2 linked regions of the Canis lupus familiaris genome follow. The protein of the gene in region 1 purifies or fractionates together with the protein of each later gene. This does not show direct contact. Links are inferred from orthologs where the notes say so. Each region holds a gene or a part of one and is shown in the gene's direction. Other genes may lie near its edges.

Region 1 (3,393 bases):
AGCAGGGCAGGCAGAGTGGGAGGCTGCCCTTTCTGGGCATGGCGTTTCCATGGAACCCTGGGGTTCTCAGACATTTCAGGCACGCTGGAATGTCAGCCTGTGTTGCCTTTTGAAATTTTGAAGTATTGAAACTGCTGGCAGGTCCTCTGCCCACTGCAATGCGGTGCTACAGACCCTTAGTGGCCACCTCCCTACTGGTCCTGCAGCCCCTTTGTGCCTGCCCCATCTCTGGTGACGTGGGCGCACTTGTGTCCAGCCCTCTCCTGAGGTCGTAGGATGAGCTGCTACAATCTGTTATCCCCCCGACATCCTGCCTGTGTGACACCCGCTGACAATGCAAGAACACTGTGCTCGCTGGTCAAGTGGTGGCTGCTGGTCTCCTGTTTCCCTGGCTTTGAGACTGAGGCTTTATTAATGGGGTTCTTAGGGTTGGGCATGGTCTTCAGACAGCGTGATAGCTTTCTATCACAAGTCCGAGTTCATATCAGTCCCCTTTTACCTGAGTGTGTTTTGCATCAGGGTCCCTTGAGAGGCACCTTGACAGGAGGGAGCCCCGCCACCACGCTCAAACAACAGTGACCATCCTTCTTCTCTTCTTCCAGGTACTGTTTCTTGATCACCCAAAAAAGAAGATTCGGGACACACAGAAATACAAACCTTTCAAGAGTCAAGTGAAGGTACTTACAATGAGTGGGGCTCTATACGTCACAGTTGTTCTCCTGGTTTGTGTAATGGTTCTGGTTTTGGTTTGGGGTTGTCTTAAGTTTTGAAACTCAAAGGTTAAAAGGAAAAAAAGTATAGAGTTCTGCTGAGGGCTGCCCCCAGAGGTCCATGTGAGCAGGAGCAGATTCTTCCAGCCCCAATCTCTGCAAGAAGACCCCCACCATTTCAGGGGAGCTGCCGCCCTCAGATCTGCTGTAGCAGGAGGCCTGAGGCTAGAAGAGAGATGCAGACTCCGCCTGGGTCCTCCTCTCCGGGCTGACTGCAGGTGTCACCAGCCCTGGAGGCCACGGCACCTCTGGTGAAGGCACATCGAGGGGCACTGGGTTGGGGCTCAGTAGGTGACTCCCCTAACTCCCTGCCCAGTGCAGTGCCCAGCAGCCCTAGGGCAGAGCCTGCAAAGGCCTGCACCCCAGTGTGGCTGTGTGCTTTCCCCTCTCCCCTGGCAGAGTGGGCGGCCATCTCTGAAGCTGCTTGCAGAGAGAATCCTGGGGATCCAGGTGCAGCAGGCAGAGCACTGTTCGGTAAGTGTGACCTGGGGGGACTGTCCTCAGGATCAGGGGCCATCCCTGACCATACAGCCAAGGTGCCCTGTCAGGGGCCTGGATAACTTAGTTGTAGGAGGCCTCTGGTCCCTAAAAGTGAGATGGCACAGCAGGCTCACAGAGCGTTCTTAAATTCTGAATGTTTGTTTACGTTTAGTTAATTAACATTTGAACACAAAAAAGTACCATCATTGCAGCTTTTTGGAGAAAAAGTCCCCAACCTAGGTTGAAGGTCTTTTAGGGTGACATGGCCCCAGCTAGTCCCTGGGCCTGGTGACAGGCTGCAGTGTGGGGGCTAAGGAGTGCTGGTGCCAGGCTGCTGGCCCCTGGAATCCAGCCCCCACATCATGGCATTACACTCAGAGATGTCCTCCCGCCTACGTGTCCGTGTGTCTGTCCTTGCCCTTCCTTGGGTTCCTTTTTTCCCCCATAAGTGAGGCACCAGGGTCACCAAAGCCTGGCCAAGATCGAGTCCCTAAACTGCTGCCTGGCTTGGCTTTTTCGTGTGTGTGTCTGGTCCTCGGGCCTGGCAGTTGTGGGGTTGGGTGGTCTGTAGCCATGCGTGTCACCTGCTCAGACAGTCACAGTAATGTTCTGTGTCCCCTAGATTCAGGATGCCCAGGCAGCAATGAGACTGTACATCCTGGTGAAGAAGGAGTGGGAGAGCACGGCCCAGGACAGGCACCCCACAGCCCCCACTCCAGACAGCAGCAGTGTCTCCGTCCACAGGCGCTTGTGACCAAGCATGGGACAGCTTGGGTCTCCCCAGAGCAGCAGCTGTGTCGAAACACGTTCACTGTCCTGGTGGCAGGGCGTGTAGTCCGGGACTTAGGGTGGGCAGCATGGGCAGGAGCGTCTGTCCTGGGCACAGCCAGAGGTGGCTGATGGGGACTGATGGAGGGAGGTACCTGCTGCCACTGCAGTGTGGCAGCAGCCTTGCCAGGGACTTGCCTGGTCCCAGGGGTGGGAAGTACCCACTCCTGGGTTTGCAGCGCCTTCCTTGGAGGAGGCCCCTCTTCCCTCTGAGTCCGATCACGTAAAGAACTCTGCTGGACTCCTGGACCTGGCCCTGTCTCGGAGTCGGCTATGGCTGCCTTTGGACTTGAGCGCCATCCCCTTCTCACCCCCGTGCACCCCCCCCCCCACCCGCCCGTGTGTAGACCTACCAAGTTTAAACAGAAGGGCAGGGCCCACAGTGTGGCGGCGAGGCTCAGGCTGTCTATGCTCAGTGACAGCAGTCACTCCCAGAGGTGGCGCCTCTCCCCCTCTAAGATGGACGTGTCGATCCGACCCCCAGCCGTTGGGCTGGAGCATCCCATGGGTTTGACCCCAGGTGTGCTGGTCTTTCTGAGAACAATCGGGGGGCTACGAGTCGCACTTGGTGCATGAAACCCTGGGCCACCTGACCGCTGCACAACGAAGGCCCAACCCCACTGAGGACATTTAACATAAATGCAGGTTTTTACTGGAGGTGAAGTTTGTGGAGGTTACTGTTTCCCTCATTTAGGATGGCCCCAAAGGCCCACTGTGTCCAGCTGCCTCCCTGAGCGGGCCAGGGCCAAGGCCTGTGTGGCGCCTGCCAATCCGAGCCCGCAGAGCCCCACCAGGCTCCAGCCTTGGGCCTCATCCCCAAGAAAAGTGAAGTGACGTTCCCCCCCCAACCCTAAGGAAAACCATTCACTGGGCAGCTCCAGGGATGTACAAGGAAAGAAAGGACAGGAGAGAAGGGGCAGGGGGTGGGAGGCTTCGGGGGGCCTGCCGCCTCACGGCAGGCCTGACTCTCCTCCCGCGGAGCCTGGTGGCGTGTTGGCCTCTAGGCTGAGGAGCACCGTCTCTGCGTATGAAACCAGCTCCTGGGAAGAGACAACCAGCAGGCACTGTTGCTGTGGACACTCTGGGGGCCTAGGAGTAGGTATTTTTGTGATGATCTGCCTTTCAGTGGAGAGGTCTGAAAGTCTCCACCCTTTAGGTTTGGGGCATTTGGGCAGAGTCAGAGACATGGACTCACTACTAGGGAAGGAGTCATCAAAAACCACATATACAGATTTGAGTCTGTGCTACACAAAATCTCTCATTCTGAGCCACTGGATTCAGTGCCCCTGGGATCTGGCTGAGGGGCAGGTGGGAG
Region 2 (3,426 bases), on another chromosome or scaffold:
GGCTAACATACCGGGAACTAATGTTTCATATTTTCCACTCATGAGTTGGGCTTAGGTTAAACAATCTGTCCAAAGCAGGTCCTGTAAAACGAGATTCTAGGTCATCTGACCCAAGAACCGGGTGTATGATCACCGTATAACACTGCCTCTTTAGCCTACTCCCAGAGCGATTAGAAAGAGTAATAATTGGTATTTCGTTAACATTTGTTGCGCCCTCTTATGTTCCATACCAAGCTCCCCCAGAGACATATTAACTCATTTATCCTTGAAACAGCCCTAAGAGGTAAGTGCTATTACCACCACATCTTACAGGTTTTTAAAAATAGGCCCAAATACCCGAAGGTCCAACAGCAGGGTTGGAACTCGCGCAGTCTCACTGCAGAGCCCAGCGCTCTTTTGCCACAAGCCTGGAGAGGATGAAATCTAATTGCCAGGGCCCGTTCGCCTGGAAAACAAACCAAATCTTCCACAGTTAGCTTTATGTGCAGTTGTGGGACGTGTCTCTCGGCCCACACCTAGGACTCCCCGCACCCCCACCCCCACCCCCACCCCCCATGAACGGGTCTGGGCTCGGGTAAAATATAATTTATCTAGTCCCAGAAGCGAAAACATCTCGTGAACTGATTTTACACTGAAATTGTTAGCAGTCGCTCGCGGAGCCCTCGAACTCGACGTCCAAAATTTGCACCGCCCCTTACGCCGCTGCATCCTGGGAGCCACAGCCCCAGTTAGCCCTGGAAAATGTAGTCCAGACTCCTGGGCCAGCACCGCCTACCTCCGGGCTCCCGCCGAAGGGCCTCCGGGAATCCCATCTGCTCTCCAACACCGCTCTCTGCCGGCCTTTCCTCGGCTTGCCGGGACTGGGAGCCTGTTCCGGGTGCCCCGGAAGCGAAGCTTTCTCTTCCGCAACGAGCGTCTCGGCGGCCGCACGTGCTTGCGTTGCCGGGGCGAGAGCCGGCGTTGGCAAGAGGGGCTCTGAAGTGCTTTCCCGGAGCGAGGGAGCCGAGGCCGAGCCATGGAGGGCCCGAGCGTGGAGGAGCTGCTGGCAAAGGCGGAGCGGGACGAGGCAGAGAAGCTGCAGCGCATCACGGTGCACAAGGAGCTGGAGCTGGAGTTCGACCTGGGTAACCTGCTGGCCTCTGACCCGAACCCCCCAGCGGGGCTGCGGCGCGCGGGACCCTCGCCGGAGGCGGAGCTGCAGGCCCTGGCGCGGGACAACACGCAACTGCTCATCAACCAGCTGTGGCAGCTGCCCACGGAGCGCGTGGAGGAGGCGCTGGTGGCACGCCTGCCGGAGCCCACCACGCGCCTGCCGCGCGAGAAGCCGGTGCCCCGGCCGCGGCCGCTTACACGCTGGCAGCAGTTCGCGCGGCTCAAGGGCATCCGTCCCAAGAAGAAGACCAATCTGGTGTGGGACGAGGTGAGTGGCCAATGGCGACGCCGCTGGGGCTACCAGCGCGCTCGGGATGACACCAAGGAATGGTTGATCGAGGTGCCCGGCGGTGCCGACCCCTTAGAGGACCAGTTCGCCAAGCGGATCCAAGCCAAGAAGGAACGCGTGGCTAAGAATGAGCTGAACCGGCTGCGTAACCTGGCTCGCGCGCACAAGATGCAGCTGCCCAGTGCGGCCGGCATGCACCCTACGGGACACCAGAGTAAGGAGGAATTGGGCCGCGCCATGCAGGTGGCCAAGGTCTCCACCGCCTCTGTGGGGCGTTTCCAGGAGCGCTTGCCCAAGGAGAAGGCGCCCCGCAGCTCCGGCAAGAAGAGGAAGTTTCAGCCCCTTTTCGGGGACTTTGCAGCTGAGAAGAAGAGCCAGTTGGAGATGCTGCGGGTGATGAACAGCAAAAAACCTCAGCTGGACGTGACGAGGGCCACCAATAAACAGATGAGGGAAGAGGACCAAGAGGAGGCTGCAAAGAGGAGGAAAATGAGCCAGAAGGGCAAGAGAAAAGGCGGCCGGCAGGGCCCTGGGGGCCAGAGGAAAGGTGCCCCGCCCAGCCAGGCCGGGAAGAGAAAGGGGGGCTTGGGAGGCAAGATGAACTCTGGGCCGCCTCGTTTGGGCGGCAAGAGGAAAGGAGGGCAACACCAAGGAGGGAAAAGAAGAAAGTAATTTTCACCCTCGGACCCGTCTGTAAACGAAGAACTGTACTAAATGTTAAGTTCTAGTTACTGGGTTGGGAGGCCAGGAATGTTGAAAAAGATGTGCTGCCTTCACTGAGCTTGAGGTTGAAGGGATAGGCTGCCCTCCTCACGCCCCCCAGAATAGTATGTAAATGCTGGACTCTACAAGGTAATGTTTTTCCCACAACCAAGAATTGGCTGGAGATTAAAGGATGTATTTGAGGACCTAAGAATCAAGGAAAGAATTCAGTGGAAACTGGGAATGAGTTCTATTTTTAAAGACGTATTTTTTTTTCTTTTTGACTTTGGAAACTGAGGGAAAGTTGGTCGTTTTTCAGACTTACATTTGATTTCTGCATTATTTTTATAACAAAGGAGTGTATCAAAGCAAGGGGGAGGGGACAGAAAGATTACAATTTAAAATGACTTACAAGTAACTCTTATGAAAGTTATTTAATTAATAAAAGTGTGTATCTAATGTCGCTTTTGACATTTTGGCTATTGGTAGAAATTCTAAGTAAAGCCAGGGGATACCTTATTAACATTATTTTAATTTGCTTTCTAAAAAATATAAAGCGGGTAATTTATGGTGATTTCAGTGATACCAAAAGAAGTAAGAGTTTTTTCTAATAAGTAACAGATGTAATATTGAAAGTGCTGTACAACTGCTGTCTCTTTGAAAAAGGATTTTATGCTTTTTATTACTGTGAAAACATTTATGGTAAATTATAAATTTGGGCTTCACTAAATAATGATAATAATCCTCATTAATCCAGAAAATACTTAAATGTTTTCAACATTTATGTCCCAATTTTTTTTTTTTTTTTAACTTCAGGTAGGATCTATTTTGAGAAGAGATAAACCCACCAGATCTTTAACTGGAACACTGTTATTTTTTATTCATTTGTCAAACTGACCTTAACTGGTTTAATTAGGAGGTCAAATGTTTATAGCTTTTATGGGCCTCGTTCCCTAATTGATCTTAGTAAATCAGTACCTACTGAAAAGGATTCATAGTACATCTAGAATCCAGGGGAGACTCATGAGCCACTCTGTTTTTTTCGGTCTTGTAGTTGATAGGAAATTTAAATTGGGAGTTCACTTTGTCCTTTTTCAGTGTTGCCTCACTTTTATGTCGTCTTTAGAAATTGCCATAGAAGAAAAGATTAATTCAAATTACATATATTACTATAAACACAGATGTTAAATTGATACTATGTTAGGATAATTTGTGATTAAGTTGAAGTTGAACTTTGCCATCATTGATCAGCTCTCCCACTGTGAGGTGGAACACTTGACCCT

Evidence for each region.
Region 2: the proteins of REXO4 (region 1) and RRS1 purify together in Homo sapiens (co-immunoprecipitation; 3 studies listed by BioGRID and IntAct, with this or other methods). This does not show direct contact. The link is inferred for Canis lupus familiaris from reciprocal best matches to the Homo sapiens genes REXO4 and RRS1.

Annotation. Positions count from the first base shown.
Region 1 is NC_049230.1:49,882,655-49,886,047, reverse strand, and holds the end of REXO4 (RNA exonuclease 4), read left to right. Parts: intron 1-602; coding exon 603-677; intron 678-1,169; coding exon 1,170-1,244; intron 1,245-1,872; coding exon 1,873-2,004; 3' UTR 2,005-2,741; downstream 2,742-3,393. Other genes in the region: serine/threonine kinase-like domain-containing protein STKLD1, read right to left, coding at 3,029-3,118.
Region 2 is NC_049250.1:16,481,688-16,485,113, forward strand, and holds RRS1 (ribosome biogenesis regulatory protein homolog), read left to right. Parts: upstream 1-888; 5' UTR 889-1,015; coding exon 1,016-2,113; 3' UTR 2,114-2,614; downstream 2,615-3,426. UniProt on the Homo sapiens protein: Involved in ribosomal large subunit assembly. May regulate the localization of the 5S RNP/5S ribonucleoprotein particle to the nucleolus.